Alligator mississippiensis: one gene and its partners. The protein of the gene in region 1 interacts with the protein of each later gene in a pairwise test. Links are inferred from orthologs where the notes say so. Each region holds a gene or a part of one and is shown in the gene's direction. Other genes may lie near its edges. The genes, in order: ARHGEF11, PLXNB1, PLXNB3 and PLXNB2.

Evidence for each region.
Region 2: the proteins of ARHGEF11 (region 1) and PLXNB1 interact in a two-hybrid assay, tested with the Homo sapiens proteins (2 studies listed by BioGRID). The link is inferred for Alligator mississippiensis from reciprocal best matches to the Homo sapiens genes ARHGEF11 and PLXNB1.
Region 3: the proteins of ARHGEF11 (region 1) and PLXNB3 interact in a two-hybrid assay, tested with the Homo sapiens proteins (2 studies listed by BioGRID and IntAct). The link is inferred for Alligator mississippiensis from reciprocal best matches to the Homo sapiens genes ARHGEF11 and PLXNB3.
Region 4: the proteins of ARHGEF11 (region 1) and PLXNB2 interact in a two-hybrid assay, tested with the Homo sapiens proteins (2 studies listed by BioGRID). The link is inferred for Alligator mississippiensis from reciprocal best matches to the Homo sapiens genes ARHGEF11 and PLXNB2.

What each region holds. Positions count from the first base shown.
Region 1 is NC_081838.1:16,528,205-16,535,047, forward strand, and holds the start of ARHGEF11 (rho guanine nucleotide exchange factor 11), read left to right. Parts: upstream 1-3,835; 5' UTR 3,836-4,444; coding exon 4,445-4,479; intron 4,480-6,843. Other genes in the region: ETV3L (ETS translocation variant 3-like protein), read left to right, coding at 129-772. UniProt on the Homo sapiens protein: May play a role in the regulation of RhoA GTPase by guanine nucleotide-binding alpha-12 (GNA12) and alpha-13 (GNA13). Acts as guanine nucleotide exchange factor (GEF) for RhoA GTPase and may act as GTPase-activating protein (GAP) for GNA12 and GNA13.
Region 2 is NC_081835.1:218,383-226,122, forward strand, and holds the start of PLXNB1 (plexin-B1), read left to right. Parts: upstream 1-4,738; 5' UTR 4,739-4,790; intron 4,791-7,740. UniProt on the Homo sapiens protein: Receptor for SEMA4D. Plays a role in GABAergic synapse development. Mediates SEMA4A- and SEMA4D-dependent inhibitory synapse development. Plays a role in RHOA activation and subsequent changes of the actin cytoskeleton.
Region 3 is NC_081831.1:28,575,918-28,583,090, forward strand, and holds the start of PLXNB3 (plexin-B3), read left to right. Parts: upstream 1-4,160; 5' UTR 4,161-4,266; coding exon 4,267-4,464; intron 4,465-4,489; exon of another isoform or gene 4,490-4,696; intron 4,697-5,118; coding exon 5,119-6,090; intron 6,091-6,177; coding exon 6,178-6,357; intron 6,358-7,173. UniProt on the Homo sapiens protein: Receptor for SEMA5A that plays a role in axon guidance, invasive growth and cell migration. Stimulates neurite outgrowth and mediates Ca(2+)/Mg(2+)-dependent cell aggregation.
Region 4 is NC_081827.1:40,570,407-40,577,791, reverse strand, and holds the start of PLXNB2 (plexin-B2), read left to right. Parts: upstream 1-4,380; 5' UTR 4,381-4,459; intron 4,460-4,631; exon of another isoform or gene 4,632-4,718; intron 4,719-7,385.

The sequences.
Region 1 (6,843 bases):
AAGGGAGGGGAAGCGAAACAGAAGCACAAGGAGGGACCCGAGTGGGGGCAGAACCCAAGTGTCCTGACTCCCGGTTGGTGCCGGAGCAGGCTGCTGCCAGTCTCACGCCTCTCCCTGTCTCTCCGCAGGCTTTGGCTCCATCCCTTCACCCTGCTTCTTTGGCTCCTACTGCAGCCCAGGGGTGCAGGATGAGTTCCCCCACCTGGCTGCCTTCCCGCCCCCCAGGCTCACCCCTAACGGCAGCCGCCAGCTCTGCTCGCCCAGCCACTGCCCTGTGCCCAGCCCGCCCGAGTGGCCACGCTTCTCTGGCCACATCTTCCCCCACGGCCAGGCGGTGCTGCCCCTGCCAGAGCACGCCCAGCCCCATGGTCCCTTGGGGTTCCCCAAATCAGATGCCCTCTTGTTGGGGGTCAGCTTCCTGCCCCCTCGGCTGCAGGGGCAAGCCTTCCCTGGGCACCCACTGGGCACCGTGCAGGGGGCTGCAGAGAGGCTGCAGTTCCTGCTGGACGTGTCCCCACCTGAAGAGGAGGAGAGGGAGGATGAGGAAGGCCAGCACCGGGCTCCTTCTGCAGAGCACAGCCAGGAGGTGAAGCCTGAGGTGGAGCTGGAGCTGGAGGGCACGGCTCTGGGCAAAGACACAATCTTCCTGGGCCCTGGAGGGGAGGGTGATAGTCCGTGTTACCCCTCCGAGCTGAGAGCCTCTGCCGGAGCTGCCCCCCGCCTCCCCTGCCTGTCTGGCTTTAAGGCCGCCTGGCCCTTGGACCCCACCTAAAAGCAACTCCCCGGTGCCGTGTCCCCCTGCCATTTTGCCCCTTCCTCCTGCCTGGCGATGCCCGAGCCTAGCCCCATGCCGCATCTGCCTGTGAAGCGTGCACAGCTTGTCTCGTCTCATCCTGCCCCGTCTGTGTAAAGGATGAACCGGGCCATGAGAATAAACCCAGTTTACAGACAACCGTCTCTCTGGCTCTGACCCTGACCCATTTCCTTGTCACGGGGGGTGGGACAGGACTGTACCCGGTGCTTTTTGTCCAAATCACCTGCACATACTGTCTTTGAGCAGAACGCTAGGAGATGCTTCTTCTGGCATCGAGGGGATAGATCATTCTAGAGATCTCTGGTTTGATGCTGTCTGCTACAGGAGCCAGGAGAGCGACCGAAAGGTACCATTGCTCTGACGCAGTATAGCTCTGCTCATGTTTTTATGTTCCCCTATTTACTGGTGGATGCTCTGCCTGTGTCGTCCAGCTGCCTAACGGGCTAGCACTTGCCTAGCTGCAATGCTGAAGGGTCCAGGTCAGGAGCTGCACCCTGGAGCACCGGGCACTGTACAGACACGGCTGTGACCCTGTGTTACAGGGAATCCCTTTCTTCTCGTGGAGGGTCTGAGCGCTAGCGGCCTCCTCTGTTTCATTGTCCAGGATCCAATTCTTGAAGCGGGTGGTGGTACCTGCAAGCGAGGCATAATGCGGAGGTCCCAGGCCAAGTGCTAGATCCTGACTTAACGAAGCTGAGCGAATTAATTGTCTGTGGCACGGGTGCCCCCTCATGGCCACCTCTGGTTTTAGCAGATGTTTCCCATGGCTCATGGTTCTGGTGGTGGATCAGATACACACCCTCTTTCCCGCACCCCGCTAGTAACCTCAGGGGTAGGGGCTGCACAGGATGAACCGAGCAGGATGCGGCCCATGTAAGCCAGGGTGAGGTGGGCTGCAGGGCACGGATGCTTGCACTTGGGGAGCTCGGCTGGGCCTGCTCAAGAGGCTGAGAGAGTCTCCTTCAGGCTGTGACCCCAGAGGGCTGGAATCGGGGCTGGAAGGGACCTCGAGGGGTCATCTAGTCTGACCTCCTGCCTGAGGTAGGATCTGTGTTCGAAACGTGTTTTTCTGTTTTAGCTAAAATGTGTTCGGTGTGATTTAGCACCTGGTGTAGACACAGGCAGGTCACATATGAACACATCTTCTGTACTTGTGGTTTATCTGCCCCTGCCCAAAAACATGGTTTTTAAATCTAGCTGTCCTTGTTCCCAGCCCAAGCAGAACCGCATTTATTTATCGGTTGGTTAATAGGGTGTTTCGGATGCAATGTATTTTCCACAGTTCAGAGGGTCTGTGATGCCTCTCATACCCAGAGAGGTGGTGGCATCTCCATCCTCGGAGGTTTTTATGGCCCGGCTCAACAAAGGCTTGGCTGGGATGTGATATAGTTGGGGCTGGTCCTGCTTTGGACTAGATGTGACCTCCCAAGGTCCCTTCCAACCCTCATTTTCTGTGATTTTTTGATTCATTCAGAGAGTAGCTGAAGCCGTGGGGATGAGAAGTGGGGGGGGTGGACCACAAAGGCCCAGGCTGTTGTGCCTGCAAGAGGAGGGATCTGCTTTGCCTGAGACATCAGGCCAGTGTCTGAGAGCAGTGACGGGTTCAGATGGTGGATGAGGTGGTGAGAGCCGGCCACCCTTGCACTGGGGAAGAGATAAATGTCCAGCTCCCCTGCTGATCTCCAGGCCTCAGGGCCTCGAGACACCGCTTGCCACAGTTAAGCACTCTTTTCTTCCATGCAGTCACAGTCCCAACCCAAGCACTGACAGAAGGGCAGTGCCCAGAGGGTGCTGGACCTCCCAGCCAGATCTGCCAGGCTGCAAGGCAGGGCCAGGCCACTCCGTATACCCCTGCCATGATGCATAGGTCTTGTACCCCGCCCCCCGGGCACATGCAACTCCCCCTCTCCTCCTGGTTCATGCTAGTGCCTTTGTTCCAGGTGGGTTTCTCCATTGCTGCAGTGACTATCTCCAGCTGTGGGCCCAGGACAGGCGAGCAGCTCGAGATGGCTTCCTGTGCGTACTGGGTTGTACCCCATTAATTCCTGGGGTCAAGCAGCACAGCTCAGCGCTGGCACTAAGATTGCTGCACAGAGCCGGCTCCAGGGCTCGCTGCTAGCTGGCACGCAGGCTGCAAACAGAAAAGTGAAGCAGGCCATGCCAGGAGGGACTTGCAAAGCGAGTGCCACCCTTGCCCACATGCCTGGGAAGGACGAGCCGTGCCACGGGGCCCTGAGGAAGAGGCTCTTTGGGAGTAAAACCTTTTTGGTGTTTGTTGAAGCGATACAAAAGCCTGGCAGGCCTGGTCCCCGGCCAGCAAAAAATGTTAACGGGTTCATGCTGCCCAAGTGAGGCCGTGCTCAGGCAGGGGCTGGGAAGGGGTCCCTAGGGTGCTAAGGTGTTGCATGGTGCAGCTGAGGGTCTCCAAGCCTATTAATTAAGGGGTTCAACCCAATGGAGTGTGGACTGGGTGCCAGACGTGGGGGCTTGCTTGGGTCAGGCCTGAGAAGCAACAACCCTCCTGCCGGCTGGAGCAGGTGAGTATTGTCCCCCACTGTGCCAGGCGCCTGGAGGGAGATGTGAGCAGAGCAGGGCAAAGGGGAGGCGCGACCTCCTCCCTGCCCCGCCAGCTAACCCCCGCAGCAAAAGCGGGGCTCAGCTAAGGTGGGGGTCACCTCCTACGTGGGGCTGGAGCCGAAATACAGCCACGGGGTTAGGGGGGGACAGAGCAGCCCTGCTGCTGCAGGCTCCAGCCGCTGGAGGGACCCCTCGCAGCTGATTGCAAAGCAATTACCCCCCCCAGCAGTTAAAAAAAAAGAAAATAGTAAAAAATAATAATACTAATAATAATACGCCAGGACACAGCCACACCCCAGGGCAAGGCTGCAGGGTGAAGCCCCCCGGGGGTGCCCTCCGCGGGCATGGCCCCGGAGCGAGCGGCTCGGCGGGCGCGGGGCTGGGCGGGGCGCGGCGCGGCGCGGCGGGGGGCGCCCCGGGGCCACGTGGGGGGCAGCGCGGGGCGGGGCCGCATTAGGCCGCTCGGGCTCGGGCTCCCCGGGCGCCGGGCCGGCGGCTTCCCCGAGCCCTCCTGCTGCCGGGCGGCGGCGGCCCCGTTTCCCGGGGCTCCTGCACATTTGGATGCACCCCCTCTCCCCCCCTTTCTTTCTTGTGTTGTTTTTGCAAGGGGACTTGGCTGCTTTCTCCTTGTTCTTGGCAAATTGGTTTTTTCTGGCAATATCATTTTGATTGCTGGCTGGGTTTTTTTGGTCTTCCCTCCCCCTTCCCTGCGCTGCATTTGTTTTGGAAGCCAGCGGGAGAGGAGGGGGAGGGAGAAAGGGCACGATGTGGAGGAGCAAACTCGAGATGGACTTGCTGCTTCCCGGCTCCTTTTTGTCGGAAGGAAATTGATTTTTTTTTTCCGCCCTCCTCCCTTTTCTTGTATTATTATTATTATTATTATTATTATTGGGGGGGGGCGGAAGAAAGCCAAGAACCGCCTCTGTGCATGCGTGTGCAGGTTCCCCTCCCGGGAGGGGGGATGTGAGCCCCCCCCCACCCCGCCCTTCCCGTCTCCCCCCTCCCCGATCCAGCCGGGAATTTCGGGATCCGCGAGGACCGGGCGGAGGAATCATGAGCGTGAGGCCTCCACAGGCTGCGCTGGACAGGTACGGGGCGGCTGGGGGGTGCCGCGGGTCGTCTTTGCCCCCCCGCCCCGGGGGATGGTTTTGGGGACGCGCGGGGGTCGGGGGGTGCACAAGCGTCGGGGTCCGGGCGCGGCCCCGGATGCCCGGCGTGCGTCTCTCTCAGGCTGCGTCTGCCGTGCGCTGGGCTGTGTTTTGAATCCTTTTTTTGCTTGCAGCCTGCCATCCTGTTCCTTGTCTGGGTCACCTTTCCCTTCCCGTCATTCGACTTCCTCTGTTCCTGTCTCTGCAGACTGCAGTGGGCTGCGACCGGGCCTAGTTTAGAAGTTAGTCCGGGGCTGGTACCCAGGGCCTGCTCGGACCCCGGCCGCCTCGTTTGCATGACATCCTGGTGTCGCTGGGCTATACGGCCCTGCCTTGTCCCCCCCTCGTTTACCCCAGCACGCTCCCCCCTGGAAGGGCAGATGCCTTCCCTGCACCCTGAATGGAGCCGGCAGTCCTCGGGCCGCTTCCCCTGGTCCTGTGGAGGAATCTCGGTGCAGATGGGTGCTCCCTGGCCGGGGTCTCTGGGGCTTTGTGGCAGGCCTCTTGCAATCTGCTTGGGGATGTGGCAGCACGCAGGGTATCGGCATTGAGGGACCCCCTCCCCACTCCAACCTAGCTCAAAACAGAGGTGCCGTGCAGAAAACACTCCACTTATTCTTCTCCGCCAAGTGTTTATTCTCCTCTCTCACATCCTTTGGTGTGAAAAGACACAGGATAGAAAGCAGCTATCTGAATGTGTTTTGTGTGCTCGGGTTGACTTATTCTTATTGCCCGCGTGCTTTCTCTGTTGTTCAGCTCTGCTCGGCGGATTTGATCGTCGACTTGCTTTGGGATTTCTAAATTCTACCACGCGGGAGCTGATTCGGGGCGTTTAGCAAAAAAATCGAGGCTGGGGAGAGATGGTCATGTCTGAGCGCACTGTGTGCTCTTCGGTGGCCTGGTCCATCCACGGCCTGGGTCTGCAAACACTTTCCAGCGGGGGTTATGCTCCCCATTGCAGTGGTCCCATTCAGTAGAAGTGTGGGGCTGCTGGAGATAGTTGCACCTCCGTGTGAAGCAACCTCTGGGATGGAGGATGTCAACAGACCAGCACATGTCCACAGAGGAATGAGAGGTGAGAAGCAAACCCCTTTGGGGGAGTGCTGGGGGGGAGGTCTTTCTTGCAAAGCAGAGAAGGTTTTTGCTTGTGCCTACCAGGGCTTGAAGCTGTGTTTCGGTGCAGGGGGAATGTGCCCCTTTTAAGACCAATTGCTTGGTCTTGAAAGGGGCAGATTCCCCCTGCACCATCCCTTTTGGCACGATTATTAAGAGGTAGCCCAGGCTGTCTGGGTGAGGCACACTGCAGCATGGGTGTCTGAAGACTGCCTCTGGCAGCGACTGGCTGTGGGATGTGGCTGTGTTTTTTCATTGATGAGTCTTCGCTGTTAAAAACAGTAATGATCTTCCACTTCCAGTCTGAGCTACATCAAACCCAGCCACTCCTTTCCCAAGTAAATACAAAATTTGATTAGACAGATGCGGGGCCTGGCCAGCTGGGGACTGGAGATTGTATTTACAGCCTAACAGATTTCTTTCTTCCTTGGTCTCCTTGCCATGTTTCTAAAGGCAGCTGAGCATAGCTACCAGCTGCTGAGCCCCTCCAGGGAGGTGCTAGGGTGGGCAAGTCATAGGAGGTGATGGGGTGCGCTCAGCAGAAACACCTGGCCTGCCTATGTTGGCAGGCTTGTGCCTCAACCCATTATCTGGGCATGGAGATCATTCGTGGTGATGAGCCCGAGTTGTCTGATTTTGGAGAATTTAAGTTGTTTTGGTTTCTAGCCCTCATGGCTGCGCAGTCAACCTTCCTCCTAGGATGTGCAAGTCTGCAGGCCGCTCTGGTGCCTTGGCTGATGCTCAGTTTTTTCCAAGTGGCTACGTGCGCAGAGCAGATCTTCAGAGCCCCTTTGGTGAAACCAGCCAGCAGCCGTTTGGCTTCTTGCTTGTGTTGGAGCTGGAGGTGTCGGAGATGCCCGCAGGGTAGGAGGGTGAGGCCCCAAAGTAGAGGTAGCCACAGGAATCCCCCACTGGAGCCCAGAAGTGGAGAGAGAAGGCTTCCTCGGTAAATCCTTGCCTCCTGGTAAGAGAGCAGAAAGCCCAGGTGCTCAGCGCAGCAGGGGTCTCTGCTGCAAACCACCCTTCCTTCCTCCATCGGCAGCCTGTGACGGAAGGCAATGAAGCTCCTCGTCCTGCCACCAGCCAGAAGCTTGTGAGAGAAGGTCTGTGGGCAGCAGCCAGCTGGGACTCCAAACCTCCTTCCTGGCACTGCGAGGAGCAGGGGGCAACAATATTTTCACTCCTGGGCAA
Region 2 (7,740 bases), on another chromosome or scaffold:
TAGTTAGAATGGCTCTGATTAGATAAACTGTATTTGCAGTGAGCTCCATATGTAATAGAGTCTGGCTCTGTGCAGCGTTTTTGGTGGGAATGCATGTAGAAATTGGATGCCTTTGTCTGTGAGAGGTGGGGAAGAAAAGGGAGGGGAGAAGGTACCAAGTGATCTACCTCCTTTTAAGTGTTTTGCTGAGCTCTGGCTATGTGATCCTGAGTGGCCCTTCAGAACCAGCAGAGCTCCAGGAGGCATGACCCAGACCCTACATGCTCATCCTACAGGTGGCACTGAAATACCCTGTGAACCAAGGAACTGCCACTAAACTGTGGGACCATTCATTTGGCTTAAAGTTTTGAACTGCCACTCTTGCCCTCAGGTTGCTGAGACTGTTGGGAAGGGAGGAGCAAAGAGAGTATAATGAACAGGGAAGGGAGTAGATGCTTGGCACTTCAATAAATGGGACTTCCACCAACTGTAGCCTCTGAAATGTCAGAAATGTGTGTGGGAGGCTTGACTCAAACTTGCAAAATGGCATCATGAATTTATGAGAGCAGTGCACTAGCTCAGTGGCTCTCAACCTTTCCAGACTCAAGGTGCCCCTCTTTAGACTCAGGGCACCCTTCTATACTTTTTGTGATCTGAGCAGCAACCCATTTCAAACACTAATTTACATCTCACATTGTTTACCTCTTGCAGAGGGGCCAGCCAGTGAGAACAGGATTGCAGCCCAGCAGGGAGGAAACTGAGCCTGCTGCCCTTATCTGCCTATCTTTGCATACCTTATGATCTCTGCACACACTAGGGTATCCTAGCACCTTGGCTGAGAATCACTGCACCAGGTGCACATCAGGCCAAATGGAAAGGCCACTCAGTTGGCACCTTTTGTAACAGGCTAATTCTGTACCTTGCAGAATCCACTCCAGTGCTTGTTTGCTTTTCCTAAAATCCCAGCTCAGCCCAGCCTCCTCCCTGCTGTTTTTAATGGCTGCTGAAGGGAGAAGCCAAATTACTTGCAGAACTGTTATTCAGTTCATTCTTTCTGTTAAGGAATATCTCTTTGTTCTATTTGTGCAGCACTTAATATATCAGACCCTGTCCCATTGCATTGGGCCCTGAAACCAAGCATCAATTTACATTTGCTACACCTAGCCTAGGTGTCCCCATTTATACAGCTCTGCTGCCCCCGTCCCGGTTCAAACTTAATGTGCAACAAGATGAATTCCTAGACATGGCCAAGCCTTTAACTAACTTATAGAGTACTTTTATTCTTTTTTTATTCTGCAAATCAAAACTGTGTTACATCTGGGACACCTGATGTGGCTGTACTTGTCAAATCATTTGACATCAGCTTAGGGTTTTGCCCACTAACTGACTGATCAATGACACCCTTTATCCTACTTTTTAATTAGGTCTACTCACAAACGATGTCAGACAACAAAGCGATTCTAAACTGTCAATTACAGAGGAGAGAAGCCATGTGATATTCTCCAGAGGGGATGTCTAAGTCTAAATCTCAAGACAGAGCTGAGATCACTACCATCAGGGCTCTGGAATATCAATTTGCCCTCCAAACAAGTTGGCAAGTTTGAGTTTTCATTTCAGAGGCGCTATCCCAGCTCTCTGATACAATTGGTTTCTTTGTGAAAGCCGTCACAAAACTGCCCAGCAGCAGCAGCAGCTTGGTTACTTGTCAAACCCAGAGTTTTCCATTTCCTTGCAGCGTTGTGAGCTACTTGTCTCTGAGATGTTTGAATTGACATCCCGCTGTGCTAAGGGACAGAGAATACTACAAACCCTGAAATATTCTGCACTTGATATGGCAAATCTCCCCTGCTCCTGTGGGAGTTCAAATGCTCTGGCTGAGCAGCCCAGTGAAGATGCTGGGAACATATTTTCACTTGCTTGTCTCCATATCTTAAACAGTGGCCTCTTCCCGAGCTGTCGTGGGAGTTTGTGAAGGGAAAGGAGTTATCCCACTGACGAACAGCCAGTCCATTAAGGGCTCGGAATGCTGAGGCTCGTCCCGGCTTCTGTATTTAGGGAGCCAGCACAAAGAGAAGCTTAAGGAATACATTCACAGAGCCCTAAACTGCTGTTCTCTGGACCTGGCAGAGATTTTACAGGACATAAATCTCTACCTAGGGTCATTCATCGCATCTAACAAACCCTAAAGGTTGCAGGTGCTCAGGTCACTGGTTGGAAGCCCTGGAAGCAGTCCTCTGGCCGGCGGCACCTGAAAGAGATGTATTTGCCTTTGGACACCACTAACACAGATCAGATGGCCTCACAGCTGTGACTTGCATAAGACATGGGACTGGACAGTACCTCTTGGGTCACCGAGTCCAGCCTTCTGCTATCCCTGACAACCGCGTCCATCATATAGTCCCATTCATGAACCCATCCAGCTCTTTTTAAAAAAAAAGTTACGTTTTTGCCTCCAGCTCTAATTGAGAGGCACTTCAAGAATATTACTGCTGCGATGGTTACGCACCTCCTAATTTCCAGTCTCAGTTTATTCATGGCTATATCGTACTAGTCTTTCAGTTAGACATACTGTTCTGAAGGCAAGTGCCCTTCTAGGTAAGAGTTGAGGCTAATTTCCTTTTCCATCCAGTTATGTCTAAATGTTGTAGATTATCTTTTCATAAAATTTCTAAGACATGGTTTTTACTGTCCCGCCACCAATTGCACTGGTCCCTTTGCCCTGTTGGAGTGGACTCTCTTGCAAGCTTCTTATCCATGAATTGCTGGAGAACTGTCCAGTAAATGCCTGGGGTAAACAGCTAACACTTTCATTCAGGTTCTCATCGGTCCTTTTTTTTTTTTTTGTTGGCCTTGACAAATGCAACCTTGCCCTGCCAGTATCATTCACAACACTGCTGCAAAGATAATTTCTGGTTAGATTGCATCTCCCTTGGATTTCTCTTTTCACTCCTGGGAGAGAATTCTTATCTGTAGGGACAAATCTGTCACAAGAGCTGGCCCAAGACCAGAGGAAACAAGAAGAACCATCGCTCTCAGAACTACATGCAAACCCAGTATAACTTTCCTACAATATCAAATGCATCAGTATCTTTGCCATGGATACCTTTTAGTCTAAAAAGTCCCTACACTAACTTGAAGCATGCTCCTGTCAGAAGAGCTGGAAGTCAAGTTCTGTGTTCACTTTTTTGTGGCAAGCCCACAGGTGACGTGGTGAGGGAAAAGATTTATCAAAATCTAGACCAGCAGTTCTCAACCTTTGACTCAAGGTAAGCCACCCCCCCACCTTAGACTCAAGGTACCCCTCAGAAAGTGCCAGATCTTAGTTTTAACTCTTTTTTCTTTTTGGCTATGGAAGAAGAGAGTATTTTTTATGTTGCAAAGAACTCAGAAAGACCACAAGTCCAGACAGCTCTAACGCTATGGATTCCTATTTGAAATCTCTGGGTCTATCTTGCAAATCATGTTTGGACACCTAGAAGTGCTAACACCGTGCGACACCCTACAGAACCCTTGAAAGGATCTCGAGGCAACCGCGGGTGTGCTGGCATCCTGGCTGAGAACCACGGATCTAGACAGACAGACTACTGTGAGGACTGATGTCCCTGGGGCGCTGGCCGCTGCAGCTGTACGACCCCATGCCACACTGGAACAGACTCCTCCTCCCAACAGCCCCAGCCGTAGATTTCCACCCCATAAAACGGTGCGTGAACCAGGCAGGAATTACCTGAGACCCGACGCGGCCCCACCACAGGTTTGCCGTTCCCTTTCCTTCTCAGGGAGAGGCAGGCTGTCAGACGCGCACGGCCGGCAGCTGCGGTTCGGCTGAGGTCGTCATGCAGAAACAGCCATCTCGAGGGTGGATGGACGCGGGTGCTTGTTTCACGTCTCACAACTCCAGGACCGCGTGGCAGCGGCACGTGGGTGAAGCAAACGTCCCGTGACCTTGGTTCTGCGCTGGTCGCCCTGCCGCCACCTCGCCTCCGGCCACGCCGAGACTCTCTAGGAGCCAGCTGTCTTGCCGAGCAACAATGAAAGCAATGCCGTTATTAGGGACTAGGAAATCAAACTCGCATTAGGGGACCTAGGGACATGTCGCTCTGCAGAGGCAGAACTTGCCGTCTTCTGCACGAGGCTACTGAGCGCCCGCGAGCCCTTGTTTCCGCGTGCGGGGCCAGATGGCACCCCAGGCAGCACAGACGTGTCCTTGGGGCGGACACCGACAGCTCCGAGCAACAGAAGCGCTGTTGGGATGCCCCTGGTGTCTGCACAGCGCCGCGCACACCTCCCTTCAGCCGCGCGCGAGCGAGCCTGCGACATGCGCCACCTCGCATCGCGAACGGTCTGCGGCGGCGGCCGGGCCCGGGTCGGGCAGAGCGGCCTGCGCGGGGCTGGGGCTCCTGCAGCCCGCGCTGCCCTTCCTGGGGTCGCGCGGGCCGGAGCGGCAAGGCTGCCGGCGCGAGGGAGCTGCCCGGCGCTGAGGCGCGGACTCCCGGGCGCGGGCCGTTCGCAGAGCGGGGCCTCCCGGGACCGCGCCCCGCCCGCCGCCGGGGGGGGGGGGGGGCCGGCTCCGCCGCGATACCACATGTCGCGACACGACGACGCGGGGCGGGGCGGGGCGGCCGCCTCGGGCTCGGCTCAGCACGTGCCCGCCGCCCCGGCAGCCAATCAGCAGCCGGCCCCGCCCAGCCTCCGCGTCTACAGCCAATCAGCAGCTGCCCCTGCCGCGTCCTGGCTGAAGGGCGTGGCTGCAGGCACGGGGGCGGAGGGGGGCGGGGCCGGCCCGACCCGACCCGGCGCGGCAGCAGGCGCAGGTAGGAGGTGTCGGGCTGCGGCCCCGGCCCCGTTCCCGGCCCGGCCCCGGTAGGGGCGTTCGGCGGAGCGGGCTCGGTTGGCGCGGGCGCGGGCGCAGGTGCGGGCGGAGCAGCGCAGCGCAGCGCGGCGCGGCTTTGTTCCCGTGCCCCGGGCTGGTGGCAGGAGCGGGCCGGGGCCGCGGGCCGGGGCCGGTCGCGGCGCGTTGGGAGGTCGCCGCGCTCCGAGTCGCGGCGGAGCCTGCGGGCCCCAGGACCGGGCCCTGCCCCCGGGACGCGCAGGCCGGGGCGGCGGCGGCAGCGAGCAGGGCGCTGCGGGCCGGGCCGGGCCGGGCGCGGGTGGAAGCGCTGTCCCGCCGCCGGAGCCCGAGCCCTGGGGCGAGCGCGGCAGCACCGAGCGGCGGGGCGGACACGGTCCGAGGTGGCGGGGGGACGATCGTGCCCCGGCAGCGCTGCTCCCCCGCCCGGGATGCAGCCCGCGCCTGCTGCGGCCCCGCCCCGCCCCGCCCCGCCCCGCCCCGCCCGGCTTACCGGGGCGCTGCTGTGCGCCCCGCCCGCATGCGTGCGCACATGGGCAGCGCCCCTGCCGCTTGGCCCGCGCAGCCCGCCACGGGAACCGGCTCCACCGAGCTGGCGGCGGCAGCAGGCTCGGCCCAGGCGCGGGCTGCCCCAGCTGACCGTGGAGAGCGCCGCCTGCCAGCCCCGCGGCCCCCGACACGGCTCCGGTTGAGAGCCCCCTCCAGCCCTTCCTAGCTGGTGGCAGATACTCTGCTTGCATGGGGTTGTGCACCTCCTTTCACAGCATCGGTGCAGCGCGCTTCAGCACTGGAAGCTTGTGCTGTGTATCGGTGTTGGTGGGTGCATAGCCCAGGCATGTGTCTTGCATATGAAAGAGACCTGGTTTGGTTAGTCTCTGCGGTGCAAACCTACCCTGCTTTCTGGTGACAAGCATCCAGCATGATGCGAAGGTGGGAGAGACCCCCTTGGCATGTTGTGAAAACATTTAACTAACGTGGCAAAATACAAAGAGAGAACTTGCTTGTTGATATGCCAGTACGAGGACTGTGGCTACTGAAGAAGAAGAAACTGTCATCAGGTTAAGCCCAGCTGGAGGATGTACCGAAGTGGAATATAAAATCACTAGTCGCAGCCTGTTTGGGAAAGAGCGAGAAAAGGGAGGAGGGCCGAGAGGGCGGGAGGATTGGGACCGGCACCGAGGAGCGCGTTAGCTACGTTAGTCAGTGGTGACTCGGACCCGTCGGGTGCCAGAGCCGTGCATCGTTTCCCCGTTGAGCAAAGTACAGAGCTGTGGTATCGATGTGGGTGTGAAAGAGGCTTCCGAGTCCAGCCAGGCAGGGCAAGTTGCACCTCATCGGAGAAGGTGGATAGAAACACAGTTGTTGTGCATGGTGGATGTCTGCTAGTGTTTGTGACGTTTGTGTGTAGCTGACCATCGCTGGAGTTTGTACAGGGTTACAGATGGGCTCTCACTCAACAGGAAGACCTTCCTTGGCATTTGTGTTTGCATGTGTGAGAGCTCAAACTGACTTTTGACTTACAAACTTGGTCTCCTATATCACAAATGAAAATTATTGAGTGGTGTTAGCATTTTTGCTTTGTGGGCTGTTGCAAATTCCTGGGTGCCTGCATTTAAGCAAATACTATCTAGATGACTTTATAACAAGTATCGCACCCAACAAGAGGTAACTATTTGAGAAGTTGTTAGAATTGATAAAGATGAGGCCATTACTGGGTCAGCAGTTGGTTTCCTAGAGAACAATGATTGTGACATCATGATTGGGAATTTAAAGAAGAGCTTTAGAAGACCAAAAGCACTTTTTGGCTGTGGAATCGTGGACTGTCCAAAATCCCCTCTGGATCTTGTGTGGGGTGGCAGTGACGTGTGAGAATTGGTGAGCAGTAGAAAAAGATAAATCAATACAATATTCAAGATACAGAGCATAGAAGATTGATAGGGAAGTAGAAGAGCTCAGGGGGAGGGGGGATTCTATGTCTGACAGAAGAAATAAGTTTTGACCTGTATTAGGAGCAAAAGTAGAGGGTAAATGGTTAAGAGGAAAGCACCTCCTTTGGAGAGAACATTCCTATCAAAAACAGGACTCGGTCTTGCAGTTTATAGGAATTTAAAGCTGAGCCATCCTATAATAACATGGACGTCTCGTTGCCTAATTTGTATGCATTGGAATCCTCCAAATTAACAGACTTGGTTGTGTATTCCGTGGGTCTATGTTCCGATTTTCCTGTGGATGGGCTGTGCTTTAAGAGGAGGTTTTCCCCACCATGAATAGGGGAAAATGTAGATGTGCACATCTGGTCTGTGCTAAAAACTGAAAAGCAAGGGCTTTCCGGGGTTGAAAGCACTGGATGTGGCATTTTCTATGGTTGACTTTCTATAATTGCTAACACTTCCCAGGGAATTTTCTCTCAAATTTTGATATTAAAACTAGCTATCTCAGTCAGTGCCTTTGTGCTCTTGTATTTGCTCTTTGTGACACTCTGCCTAAGCAACAAGGAATGTGTTATCCTAATAAGATAAGTTTTGGGGTTTGCAGAAAGGCATTAATTTAAAAAAAAAAAAAAGAATCCCTACCTTACAGTGGAATTAATAACCCAAGGGAGTCTACAGTCCTTTTTCATTCTGACTGTTTTTTGCTGCAAACTGTAGAGAAGGTGCTTTTCTGACAAATGTTGTATCTGTGATTTGCCCAGTGGAGGTGAAGGAGGATTGAGAGAGGCTTTTCCCTCAGTACAGTGATCTTCCCACCAGGGCTGGGAGACTGAATGCTCATATCCTGTTCTTGAGTTCTCATCTTTCACCACAAACACATTCCTCTCATTCAGGAGTGCTTTGGTGCCTCCTGGGCAGGTGCTCTTGTGTTCCATTCCTGCAATTTGAGATCTTCCTCAAACTGTAAACTTGTGCAAAACTTGT
Region 3 (7,173 bases), on another chromosome or scaffold:
TGGTGGTCAGGTGACATCACAATGGAGACAGTGTGACTGGTTGTTGGAGTGCGAGTTTAGGGAAGGAAACATCACAAGTGAGGTAGGTGTGTTTGGCTGGTTCTGCAATGAGATAGGCCATGTGGGCAGGGCTCCTGGATGTGGGTGGGGTTTGGATGGGCAAGGAGATCACAACCAATGGGGTGGGGCTCGGCCCAAAGGATTAGGTCATAGCCACTATGGGCAGGGCACACCACTGTGCATGACATCACTGCCTGGGTGGGCCAGATCTGAGTCACAAAATGATGTCATGGTTTGAAAGGGCATGGTCTGGTTAAATGAAGTCACAGAGGGGCATGGCCTGATTTGGATACTGCTATCTTAGTCTCTTCCCATCCTCACCTACGATTTCATAGTCCTGGTAATACTTCACTGGATAACATCAGATGCAGAAAGGATGAGGTGGGGGATGGGAGGGTGGGTGTCCAGATGCATCACAGCAGGCTGTGGCTCATTCATTCGCAGGCTACCTTGGTAGGGCTCGGCCCTGAAGAGGGGGCGGGGCCTGGGATGGGCAGAGCCTCTCATGAGGAGACTTAAATGGGGAAACATACCACAGCACTCCAAAGCAATCTCCAGGCAGGCTGAATCACAGCCCGTGGGCTCCAGGGGCAACTGCAGGCCCCACCTCCCCCAGCTGATGGTCCTGCCCTTGCCCAGCAGGGTTCACTTCTGCAGCATAGGGCCAGGGAGCAGAGAGCCCTGAGTTCACAGAAGAGGCAGGCCAGGGTGCAGAGAGCACAGCCATCTGAGCGAGGAGAGGGGAGGTTAGCTACACCCCAGCCAGGGACCCAGGTGTCCAGGCTCCTGGCAGCCACCCTTATCATTCCCCATTTAACTCCCCCCCCTCCCATGAAACCCAGGCATCTGGGCCTTCTTTCCTCACCATCACAGCCCAGAGTCAGGGTGGAGCCCAGACACCTGGCTTCTCAGCTCCCCATTTTAACTCTCCAGCCCCTCACTTCCAACCTGCAGCCCCTCCTTATAGCCCAATGGTGCCTTCACTCCTGACCCACAACCCCCCCATACACCATGGTGCCCCTTATACCTGACCCACAGTTCCCCTCACCTCCCCTGCAGTCTCCTGGATGTGGGATACTCTGGCCTTGTAGCTCCTCTGGCTGCAGAGGGTGGTGGTGATGGAACCTATTGTTGGTGGCTGGGGCAGTGGCTGCAGGAGCCTGCCCCGCCCTGCTCCAGCCCCCCAGCTCCCTGGGCAGCTGGTGACCACGGGGCCTGCAATGAGAGGGAGAACCCAGGAGTCTGGGCTGCCAGATTCTGCTGCTTTCGTGCCCGCCCCACTCCCCTCTCAGAACCCAGGTGTCTGGGCTCCCAGCTCCTTCCCCCCCACCCCACAGCTGGAGAGAACCCAGGCATCTGGGTTATACTCAGCTGCCCCCAGCTGCACTCCCAGAGCTGGGTGCATCCAGGACTCACCAGTGCCTGCCTTGACAGTTGGCTCCACCCCTTCTTGCCCCACAGGGGTCTCTGGGCTGCAGCTGGGCATCTGAGGCATGGGCAGGCAGGGGTTAACTCACAGTGCCCCTCACTCCCAGCCTGCAGCCACCCCCATCCCCGCAGTGCCCCTCATTCCTGACCCACAGCTCCCCACATAGCCCTGTGGTGCCCCTCCCTCCGCCCCCCTGTCCATACTCCATAGTGCCCCTCACTCCCAGCTCACAGCTCCCCCTTCCATATTCCATTATACCCCTCACTCCCAACCTGCAGCTCCCCCCCCATACTCCATAGTGCCCCTTACTCCTGACCTGCAGCCTCCCATGGCATCACCCCACAGATAAAACAGACCTCTGAGAACTTGGAGACCTGGGTTCCCTGGGAGGTGAGGGGGGGGGGGGGTCAGAGCCGGGAGCCAGGACACCTTGGAAGACTGGAGTAACTTGCTCCTAGGGCTGCAACGGATGTGGGAAGTGACTGCATGTGTCTGCTCCCTATCCCAGATTAAACTGGCCCTGCTTCAGCCCCACCCCCCCTCCCAAAGAACTCAGGCATCTGAGTTCCCACCCCCCAGCCACTGCTCTTGTCCCAGAGAACCCAGGCTACCATCCCTCCATCCCTGGGTGTTACCTTCCTGTCCCTCTTTTTCCCAGCCCAGCAGGGGGGACAGGTTTATGGCCTTGTTATTTCCTCTTGGAACACAGGAGTTCAGGGGCTGCAGGGCAGGAGGAGGGGCTCCAAGCCCAGCAGCCCTCCCCCCGCCACCCCCATTTCCCCAGCCTGGCTACAGCTGCTCCCCCCCCACACACACACACAACCCAGGCATCCAGGCCATAGACACATAGAGAACCCAGGTATCCTGGACACCCACACACACAGGGAGCCCAGGCATTTGGGACATACAGATAGAGGACCAAGGTGTCCCAGACACAACACTTTGCTCCCCCTCCTCACTTGCCACTCAACACACACGTGGAACCCAGGCATCCAGGACACAGGCACAGAGAATGCAAGTTCTGGAATGCACACAGGGAACCTGGGCATCCAGAGCATATGCACATGCACACACATACATGCACACACACACACAAAGGAAACCCAGGGACAGACAGACACATGCAAACAGACAGGGGGACCCAGGTGTCCAGTTCCCCCTCCACCAGTGAAGCTGACCCTTGGGTCCATCTGTCTGGCTCCTTCCAAACCACTCCATGGTCTGGGGCCCCCCTGGGGCAGTTCACAGCCCTGCTGTTCCTGCTCTCCCCTAGCATGACTCGGCTGCCTGGGGCCACACCCCAGAGCTGGGTGCACAAGTTGGCCCTGGTGCCCCTTGCTCCCAAACTACAGACCTGACCATAGCTCCATGGTGCCCCTCCTGACCTGCAGCCCCTGGCACTGGCCCCACCCGTGGCCATGACCCTGGGTACCAGCTGTCCCAGGCTCCCTCCCTACAGTCCACCCAGAGTTCCCAGTGCCAACACTGACTGCTGTAGTGGTAGCCACAGGTGAGAGCCCAGGGGGGTCAGGAATGAGGGGGTACCGTGGGGCTGTGGGGCAGGCTGTGGGTCAGGTGTGAATGGGGGGCAGGGGTAGTGGAGGGGGCGCTGGAAGCCCAGACACCTGGGTTATCTGGCAGGGGTGGGAGCTGGATTTCAGAGCAGGGGGGTGTGGGAGCCTGGATGCCTGAGTTCTCTGCAGTCAGGCTTGAGGGGGGTGGGGAGGGGTTTCAATGCTCGGGGTAACAGGTTCAGGCCCAGAAACATGCAGGCACCACAAAAGGGCCGTCAGGATGGCTCAAAGTGTGACAGATGGATGGACAGGGGGTGGGGGGTGGAGCTTGGCTCCACAGTGCTCCTCACTCCCCACCCACAGCCCCTAGCCACCCACTGAACCCATGGGGGGCTGCGGTTTGGGAGTGAGGGGCACCACAGGTTGGGGGTGGAGGCTGTGGGTCAGGAGTGAAAGCAGAGCAGTTTTTAGTGCCGATGGGGTTAATGCTGCCCCCAGAGAATTCAGGCATCCGGGTGCCCGGGACAAAGCACCTTTGATGCAGCCCCCAAGGGCCCTCCCTTCCCCCCCCAAAACGTGGGGGCGGCTGGAGGGGGGAGGGGCTGGTGGCTCCAGCTGGGGCTGTGGGTCAGGAGTGAGGGGCACTGTAATAACACCCCCATCTCCCCACAATGTCCCTCAGTGCTGACCAGCAGCCCTGACATGACCTGCAGTTCCCCTCATTCCTGACTTGCAGCCCCTCCAGTCCTATGGTGCCCCTTGCTCCTGACCTGCAGCTTCCCCCCCCCCATTTCCGGGGTCCTCCTCGTGCCAGCATCCCATAATGGGTCCTTGAGCCGGGTGTCGCTGAGGGAACAGAGGGGCATTGATGGGGCAGGGTGGGGAAAAGACAGGGCCCCATTCACAGGGATGTCCCTCCCCCGCCCTCAGCCAGACGCCTGGGTTCCCTCCTCGCAGTGGGGAGCACCCGGCTCTGGCCTGGGTTCTCTGGGAGGGGAATAGGGGTTGGGGGGGGGTGAGAGCAGGTGGGGCTGGCATCAGGGACGGCTGGGTTCTCTAGAGACTCAGAGCAGGCTGGGCTGAATGCCCAGATGCCTGGGTTCCCTCCCCACCTCAGGGCTTCCCCTCACCAGGTGAGTGGTGTCCGGTGGCTTAGAACAAGGACCCAGATCTCTGGGTTCTCTAGCTTGGGAAGGCTGGGGGGCAGGGTCTGGAGGCAGCCTGGACACCTGGGTTCTCTTGGAAAAGAGGAGGGGCTAGAGCATGGAGAGCTGGGAGCCTGGACACTTGAGTTCTTTGCCTGGTGCCTTTGTCTGTCAGGCAACCCCTCCTTGGGGTAAGGGAAGTGGGGGAGGGGCAGGCGTGTCAGGGCTCCTGGGGCACCTGAGCCCTTGTGGAGGGTGGAGTAGGGGGCAGGGCTTCCTCTCACCAGGCAACCTCCTCAGCACCTGGCAGCCACAGGTGAGGACACCCCTCCCTTCCCCTCCCAGGGCACGGGATCCTGGGCACCTGGGTTCTCTAGGAGTGGGGAGTGGGGGACAGGTAGCCTGGATGTCTGTGTCCCCTCCTTGCCTGACGGCCCCATCTGGTGTTTGTCTGTGCTGGATTTCAGGGGGAGGGAAGGGGGTGTGGATTAGCAACAGCATTTCCACAGCCCGGACGTCTGGGTTCCCTGGGAGAGGAGTTGATCCTGGTAGGTGATAGCAAGCCAGGGCTGGGAGCCTAGATGCCTGGTTTCTTTTGGGGTGATAGGTTTTGAGGGGCCACCTGGATGACTGGATTCTCTTTGGGGGTGATGGGTTACGGGGGAGCTGTCTGGACGCCTGGGTTCTCCATGGGGTAATGAATCCCAAGATACGCGCTCAGATGCCTGGGTGTTCTGTAGGGGGTGATGGGTCCTGGGCAAGCTGTCCAGACACCTGGGTTCACTGGATGGGGATGGTAGGCAATGGCAGAGACTCCCAGAGACCTGGGTTCTCTGGTGGTCAAGTCCAGTCTGCCGGGTTATGGGGCAGCTGTTTGGACACCTGAGTCATCTGGTGATGGTCCTGGGGGAGCTGCCTGGGCACTTGGGTTCCCCACTCCAGCCTTTAATCCTTTCCTCTTCCCCCACAGGTCTTGGCCATGACCTTCCCATGGCCTGTTCTGCCCCTGCTGCTTCTGCTGCTGCCCCCCCTTCCGGGGGAACCCTTCCCACTCCCCACTTTTGCTCCCCCAAATGCTTCCTTCCAGCACCTGCTGGTGGCCTCCACGGGTGACGTGTATGTGGGTGCCACCAATGCCATCCACCGCCTGGGCCCTGGCCTGGCCCCACTGGCCACAGCCACCACAGAGAATCCCCCCAATCTCCCCAACCCCAACCGCCTGCTTCTTGAGACCCCCAGTGGGCGCCTGCTGACTTGTGGGCAACGTCACCACGGCCTGTGCCAGGCCCGGGCCTTGGCCGACCCTCAGCATGTCCTCGCCACTCCTCCAGACCCTGGCGAGGGACATTTCATTGCTGCCCCAGATGCTGGGGTCCCCACCGTGGCTGTGGCTCATGGAACCTTCCTCTGGGTGGCTCGGGGGAGTTCCGGGACCCGCCTTGTGCCTCCCCTCACTGTCCGGCACCTCGAGGGCCCCCATGCTTTCTCTGGTGAGGGGCTGGGGCGCCTCGTGGTGGGAGACCCTGGGGATTATGGGCTGCACTACATCCTGGCCGCACCAACTGGCACCCATGCCTACTTCCTTCTTACCCGTCGTGGGGGCCCCAGCGAACCTGAGCCTCGGACCTATGCTGCCCGGGCCTGCCTGGCAGACCCCCAGCTCTACTCCTATGTAGAGGTGCCCCTGGACTGCCAGGCTGGGGCCTATCCTGTGGCCCGAGCGGGTGCCTTGAGGTCTGGCCAGCACGGAGCACTATTCGTGGTGGCAGATGCAGGGGCTGGGCTACTCTCAGCCCTATGCGTCTTCCCACTGGAGGTGCTGGAGACCGAGGCCGAGGCCACACGCCAGGCCTGCTACAGCCACGGTGGGGGGGTAGGCATTGACCCTCCCCGTGCCGCCATCGCCTATGGGGTCACATCTCACTGCACCCATCTGCCCCAGGTGAGCAGTGGGGGGAGGAGCGGGTTCCACCTTAGAGCTATCTACATCCCCATCACCTCTAACCCCTGGCCCCCCATTTCCCCCCAGGAGTCATCAGAGCTGTACCCATGTGGGGATGAGCACACGCCCTCCCCAATTGTCAGCCTGGTGCCCATCCAGGCCCCGGCCCTAGTCACAGAGCTGCCACAGCTCACAGCTGTCGTGGCCACAGAAGAGGCTGGGAACACCATCATCTTCCTTGGAGATGCCTTTGGGCAGCTGCACAAGGTAGGGTCTGGGGCAGCATTAAACTCAGCCAGTCCCCAGCTGATCCACTCCAGAGTTGGGCACATCTCAGCCCTATTCCTGCCTTGTTATGCTCAGCCATTCCCCAGCAGGTCTGCCTCAGAGCTGGGCATGTCTAAAGCTTCCCTGTGCCTTGCTATACTTGGCTGTTCCTTGGCTGTCGCACCACAGAGCTGGGCTCATCTCGGCCTGTTATACTCAGCTGTTCCCCAGCCACCCCACCCCAGACCTGCAAGCATGTCAACCCTCTTCTTGCCTTATTATATTCAGCTGTTTCCCATTGACACCAGAGCTGGGTACATTTTGGTTTTCCTTGAGTGGCATTATACTGGGCTGTTGCCCACTGCCCCCACCCCAGAGTTGACTGCATCTTGGCCTCCCCATGGGGTATTATATCTTGGCTTGTTATGCTCAGCTGTTTCTCCACTGCCCCAGCCCAGAGTTGGGTGCATCTTGGCCTTTCTTTCATGGTGTTATATGTAGCTGTTACTAGCTGCCCCCACCCCAGAGTTGAGTGCCCCTCAGCCATCCCCATGCAGTGTTACACACAGCCATTTCCCAGTTGCCCCACCCCAGAACTGGCCACATCTCAGCCCTCCCTGAACTGTGTTATACTCAGCCATTCCCCCTTGCTGTTCTACCCCAGAGCTGGTTGCATCTCAGCTTTCCCCAGGCAGTGTTATACCTGGCCATTTTTCAACTGCGACACCTGAGAACTGGCTGCATCTTAGCCTTTGTTGTGCCCTGTTATGCTCAGCCATTCCCCAGTTGCCCTACCTGGAGTTTGGCTGTATCTCA
Region 4 (7,385 bases), on another chromosome or scaffold:
TCCAAAGCCTCACACAATCCTAGTGATCATGATTTGATCACTTTACCCATCACAAAGCTGGTAAATCAGTCAGCAATGATGACTTTTATGAGCTCAGGAGGGTGGTTGCCAAGGCCCTGAAGGATCATGATCTGACAGGGAAGGGAGTCCAAGCTGTGTGGCTGCTTCTTGAGGATGTGATCCTAAAAGCACAAGGAAAGTCCATTCTGGCCCATAGGAAAGATAGTAAAAGGGCTGGGAGACCCCCTTGGCTCAATAGGGAACTCATGGACCTCCTGAATCTTAAAAGAGAAGCCTATAAAGGTAGGAAGATAGGAAATAGCTCTAAGGAGGACTATGCATCACTGGCCCGCACCTGTAGGGAGTGGACCACAAAAGCCAAGGCCGAAACCAAGCTCAAACTGGGTACAGGAATCAAGGACAATAAAAAGTCCTTCTTCAGATATATGGGAAGTCTAAACAGAAATAAGGGCAACATTGGACCCCTGCTGAACCAAATGGGGCAGCTGACATCCAACATCCAGAAAAATGCTAATCTCCTTAATGAATACTTCACATTGGTTTTTCACCAGCCCAAGGGGATCACCATGCCTGACAGGACACAGGATTACTAGGATACGGGTGACCACACACCTACATTTGGCAAAGGCCTTGTGAGAGAACATCTTTAGAGGCTGGACATCCATAAATCACTGGACCCTGATTAAATGCACCCTAGAGTGCTAAAAGAGTTGGCTGACATCATAGTGTGACCAATGGTGTGGATATTTCAGAACTTTTGGTGCTCAAGAGAGGTTCCTGAAGATTGTAAGAGGACCAATGTGGTGCCTATCTTCAAGAAAGGAAGGAAGGACGATTCAGAGAACTACAGGCCAATCAGTTTGACCTCAATCCCTGGAAAGATCGTGGCAAAAAATATTAAAGAATCCATCAACTATAGGTTAACAGAAGGCATCAGCCTGAGAGACAGCCAACATGGCTTTGTTACAGGTAGGTCATGCCTGACCAACCTCATTGCCTTCTATGACCAAGTGAAACACCACCTGGACAGGGGGGGAGAGGCTGATGTCATTTACTTGGATTTCAAAAAAGCTTTTGATTTGGTCTCCCGTGTTGTCCTCATGGCAAAATTGGGGAACTGCTGCCTTGACAACTTTACAGTCCGATGGCTGGGGAACTGGCTCCATGGTCAGACCCAGAGAGTGATCGTCGATGGAACCGAATCAACGTGGCTCATGGTGACCAGTGGCATCTCGGATTCGGGTGTCAGAACCAGACTGGCTAAGTTTGCAGATGACACCAAATTATGGGGAAGCGTGGTCACTAGAGTATAGGCTGAGGATTCAGGCTGACTTGGACAGGCTCGCAAAGTGGGTGGATCAATCAAAACCTGATGACTTTCAACACAGAGAAATGCAAGGTGCTCCACCTCAAGAGAAAGAACCCACATCATAGGAGTACTGCATCCAGTTCTGGGCTCCACACTTTAGAAAGGATGTGGAGAACCTTGAGAGTCCAGAGGAGAGCCACACACATGATCAGAGGTCAAGAGAGCAGGCCTTATGGGGAGAGGCTGGGAGGCATGGGACTCTTCAGCTTGGAAAAGCATAGGCTCAGGAGGGACTTGGTGGCAGCCTACAATTATATCAGGGGTGTGCATCAGGGTCTGCGAGAACATCTGCTCTCCAAGGCACCCCAAGGGAAGACAAGGTCCAACAGTCACAAACTGCTGGAAAACAGTTTTAGACTGGACCTAAGGAAAAACTTCTTTACTATCCGAGTTTCTGGAGTCTGGAATAGACTCCCCTCAGAAGTGGTGCAAGCATCTACTCTGGACATGTTCAAGAAGCGTTTGGGTGATTATCTTGTTCATTTGACCCTAGCTGACTGTCTGCCCCTTGGGCAGTGGGCTGGACTTTATGATCTTGCCAGGTCCTTTCCAGCCCCAGTGTCTATGAAATTTCTAGCTCCATAGAAAGAACTAAAGAATGGCATACTACAGTCTGCAGACTATTTTACCTTAGGATAGTTGGTCTTAGTTTTTTTCCTGGCATGGTGGAGGGTGGGCAATCTGTCAGCCACAAAACAGAGAAACAAATCTACCCAAATTGCCCTGCCATATGGGTTCAGTACAAAGGGCAGGAGTCTAAATATGTGTGTGGCGACATTTCACAAATCTAATAATAATACCTTATATTTATCTAGCATTCTTCATCCAGAAGTAGACCCGAAGGTGATTTATGGACTATGAAAATATTAATATGTGTATATGGATCACTACACTCACCACTGAAATACAGCCACATCCAGGTGGAAATGGAATGTAGTGCCCCATCAGCATCAGGGAAATTAGACCTCCCTCTTGCAACAGGGGAAGTGAAAAAAAAACAGTTTATAAAATTAAAACAGGATGACAAACACTCATATGAACCTTTTGATGTCTCATCTGAAAAAGGGAACTCCTCGTATTTCTATCACTGTTGGTTTTCTCTTTAGACTCATTTCTGCAGTGGGGTTGCCATCAAGTCAGAATTGCTATTTGAATAGTAGGGTATCCAAAGTTTTGCTAAATGCAACAGAAAATTAATCATATTAATTCCACTGTTGTTACAATGGGAGACAAGGCAAAAAGAAAAAGGCCAAACTCCAAAATTGAAAAACAAAATCAGGCTCCAAGAAATCATGATTATCTTTCAGATCATGAGGTTTCTTTAAATAACAAATGTAGAGTTTATTTGTGGCTTTTTTTAACCCTTAGGATTTACATTTTTCATGCTCAGCTCCCAAATGGTGGGGCTATAAATCTATTTTTGTAATAATGAAAGCTGCAATTCTGGTATAATCATATGCCTCCAGGGCTGAGGGGTTTAAAAAAGACAGTCGATATTGACAAGCTTTAGATAAAATTCCAGGAGTTGACAGCCCTGAGAAAGGAAGCAGGAGACAGAGACAGGCAGAAACATTGTACAGGAGTGTAAGAGAGGACAATAGGGAGGTGAGAAGACACAAAGACATGCATAACGACTAAGAGATAGCAAAGTGAGGAGGGAAGTGGGATCGGGAGGAGAAAAACATAGGAAATTCAAATCCCGATTATAAGTCCTATTCACATGCAATCAAATTATCTCCGTCCCTACGCAAGACGGTGTCAGTGTAATGCCTCGCGCATCAATCAGCCCGCTGTTTGTGCACGTTTAAGCGTGCAATGATAGTTCAGATCCCTTTATCCTCGGAAACTGCCAATCATCCTCTCACCGGCTTGTTTCTCTTGCAGGGAGTGTGCTCGGAATACGATTTTTCCGGGGGGGGGGGGGGGGGGGGGGGGGCGCAGCTCTGAAGCAACAAGTAGCGACCTTTGATGTCTGGCTCTTCTGCCAGCCCCACCCCCTCAGCCGAGCCCAGCCGAGGCGCTCCTGAGGAGGGAAGGGGTGTTTACTTGCAGGAAATACTCGGCTTTTATGTAGTCCTGCTCGCTTTCAAGGGACTTCACTAAGTGGCTAATTCATTCATTCCCCCAACAGCGCTGATCCCGGCGTGATTGATGAAGAAATCAGACACGCGCCTTTTAAATGCCTTGCCGGGAGCCCCGCTGGTTTTGGGAGGCGGCAGCCGCGCCGGTCCCGCATAAGGGGCGAAATTCCCTGCCAGAGAGGGGCGAGCCAGTCTCGTGGGAAGCAGAGGCCCTGGCTCATGTCCTCGCTCCGGTCCTGGAAACACCCTCCGTGAATCGAGCAGCGAGGAGCCCCCTGCTGAGCTCTGCCCCTTCCGCCCAGCCGGCACGAGAGGGGCAGACCCGGCCACGGCTCCAGCCTCCCTCCCTCCCCGGCGCTGGGCGCGGGCCGGCCCCGGGGCCCCAGGGCGCTCGCTTCCACCCGTGGGGGCCGCAGCCCGCCCCACCCGCTCTGCCCGGCCCGGGCGGCCCACGGTGCCGCGCGCGGCGGCCGACTCGCCCTTCCCCGCCTCCCTCCTTCACTCCCGCCGGCGGCGCGCGGAGGTTGCGCGGTCACACGGAGCCGCCAGGTCCGGCCCGGGCAGGGGCGGGAGCTGCCCGAGGCGCGGCTTCGCAAGGGCAGGAGCGACCGGCCGGCCCCGGGCGTGGGAACCGCGCCGCCTCCTGCCCGGCCGGGGCGGGGGAGAGGCGCCCCCTGATCCCCGCAGCACCTCTGGGCTGGCGCGGCCCCAGGCCCCGGGCGCCGCCCCGGGAGCGCCGGGCTCGGGCGGGGCGCGGGAGGCGGAGCGCGCGGTGATGCTCTCCCCTCCCCTCCGCGCCGCGCCGCCCGCTTTCCCCAAGGAGCCCGCGTGAGCCGAGGCCGAGCCGGGCAGGGGGTGGGGAGAGGAGGAGGCGGAGGAGAGAGGGAGGGACGAGCCGGAGCCTCCCGCTCCCACTCCCTCCCTGGGCTGGTTTTTTCAGCTTCCTGTCTCGCATTGTGCTGGCGGCGGATATGTGCAGCGCCTACAGGTGTGTCTCCTCCTCGCGGCGCCTCCGCGGGGCTCCCCGCTGCCCGCCCCGCACCTGAGCGGTCCTCGGCGGCTTCTCCCTTCCCCTCGCTTCCCTTCGCGTCCGCGCCCGCTGCAGCCTCCCGCGCTCCGACCCGACCCGACCCGGCCCGGCCGCTCCGCTCCGCCGGCGGCGCCGCCCCGCACCATGGGCAGGCGGGGGCGCTGGGCGCGGCGGGGCTGAGCGCGGAGCTGTCGCAGCCCGCGCGGCTCCAACTTGGGTAAGTTTGTGCTTCTCCCCCCGCCGCCCCCAGCGGATTATCCCCGTTGCCTTCAACAGGTGGAGCTGCGGCTGCGGGCCCCGGGGCAGGGGTCCCCCCCCGGCTGCGTTTCCCCGGGGGTCTGAGTGGGCTCGATTCCGGGCGGCGCTGGGAAAGCCTGAAGCTTTCCCTCCGGGGGCAGCCGGCACGGAGGAGCTGTGCCCAGGGAGGTGCGCCGTGCCCCGTAGCCGGCCCGGGCTGATGGAAACCCGCCTGCTTCACCCCTGGCGGGGGGAGCTCCGGGCTGAGCGCGGCTCTTCTGGGAAAGGCAGCTGGAAAGTTTGTGTGGAGCTCTCTGCTCTGCTCTGCTGCAGCTCCTGTGGGTTACTCGCGTTCACTGGAAGCCGCGAGCCCGGGAGGCTGCGTGTTGGTTGTGACTCACAGAAGTATTTGCTCTGGAAGCGCCCACCCCCTGGGCCTGGCCGGGCATGGCAGTGACTGTGCCCTTTCCCCTCGTGCGAGCCCGCTGGCAGCAGGGTCGGCTTCCAGGGCAGGCAGTGACAGAAAGGATCATTCAAGTACTTTCTAGGTTAATAGTTGGGAGCAAATATTCCTTAACCCCCCACCCCTCCTCCCCCAGAAGAGCTGTGAGTTTATTTCAGCTTTGAAATCTGGTGGCAATTACTGCTCCTCCCTTGTGAACTACCCGGCCCTGTTGCTCTGGTGTTACTAGGTGTAAATAAGAACCTTGTTTTGCCTGGTTGCTTTGTTTTGTTTTGGTTTTTTTTGCTTTTGAAACTCAAAATGTTGCCTTTGAGCGGATGGTTCCCCTTTCTGCTTGTTTTGTAAATCTGTTCCCAGTTGCCTCCATCATCTAACAGGTAACGCATTCCAGAGAAACGTTACCCATTTATCCTAGTGCATCATGTTTAGAGCAAGGTAGAGAATGTGGTGACAGTGGTCACTCCCTACATGGTAACATAGGTTACTAACCAGTGCTGCTTCTCTTTGGGTGCTTGTCACAATTCCTTTGAGGAAATCACCTCTTCCAGGATGATCTCTACCCCGGCTCGCTGATGGGTCTTGAGGTGACTAAGGAGTCCAATCCTTGAACCACAGACCTGTCCACAGGAGTTGCAGGTCTTTCCACAGGGGAGGGGAGGCCATAGGCCAGGACTTCTCTCCTTTTCCTTCCTCCACGCACTTCTCTGTTTCAAGGGTGAGACACTTTACCTCCGAGCAGGCAGCCAATTGGTTGAAGTTGTGGTGCCACTGGAGTCTGTCAGCAGCCAGCTCCTCCCAAGAAGCATTCAAAATACAGGGGGGGCTGAGCCTCTCATAAGAGATGAGCCCTCCATAAACTCCCCCATAAGAGGCAAGAGCCCCTGGCCTGCCCCACACCTGCGAGGCTTTTTCTGCCTGCCCCCCCCCCCCCAAGTTAGTGTAATTCGAACCCTGCTCCCAAATCTTGATGAAATGCTATGTTGTCAAAGCCAGAGTTTGAGGAAATGCTAAGGTTGTCAAAATCAAAGTTGACCTGAGGGGTCTCTTCCTTTCTGTTCCCAGGATGGAAATCTCTCATCAGTTCTCTGGGATGAGAGTTGCGCACCAGGGTCTGGCTAAAGTAGCTTGGGTAACTCATTACCAATGTACTTGCAGTGCCGAGTGTGATTATATACTTGAGAGGCAAGGATTTGAGCGTGATTACATATGCATGTGGAGCCATTCCTTTGCTTTGCGTGCCTTCGGGATTGTGAGTGAGCCAGATTCTTGTAAATATCCAGAGTGCCTGCCCACGAGAATGGAACCGACAGCAGAGAGCATGGCTGCAACCACAAGCCCAAACTAAGCTGACCGAGGAAATCTAGTCCTTTGCTGGCTTGCCTTGAACTCTTCCCTTTTTGGTGTTGAGGGCTCTGAAGGGCTGTGTGGCATCTTAATTTGATTTGGTATGAAGTACAGATTAGTATGGTGTTTTTTTAGAAAAGCAGATGGAAGGCATGTAAAACTGAAGGGAGAGCATTGCTTGCTGAAGTTTGGATGGGTAGTTCTAAAAGCTGGAGCTTTCTACATAGCTATCTTTTGTGATGCCAGTCAGTCTGTAAGTAAGCTGCTTCAGGTTCACATACTGTCGCTGGTGTCTTACTGTGTAGTAAAAAAGAATTCATGCAAATCTTTAGGTACTTCTGATAACATATTCAGAACAAACAGATATGTCCTCCCTGTAAGACCTGACAAAAGCAACATAACTGTACTAAGAACTCTCAAGCACCATAATGTAGACTTGTTCCAACCAGTTTTCCTAATAAATAGTGGTTCATGTTAGTAGGCAGTATGTGCATGTTGCTGCAGTGTATGCTGTGGGTTTTTTCTACAGTGAGAGTGTAAATGCTACTACTTGCTTGCTATTTTGGATCAATTTACATATTTCAAGAAGTTGGGACACAGAAATGAATAGCTCTTTGTTTTAAATTAATAAAAGCATACTGGGAGTTAGCAGGTAAGCAGTGCTTCTTATTTTCTAGAAAGTCGGAGCAACGACTAGCTCAGAAAGATGTTAAATAAGGAAATGGTTCAACTTCTACTGGATCTTACCTTTGACATCTATTCTGTTGAAACTTCAAGTTGGTTTTTTTTAAAGGGGCAGGCACAGGTTTTGTGTCTGGCTGAAATAATTCTAACCACTTA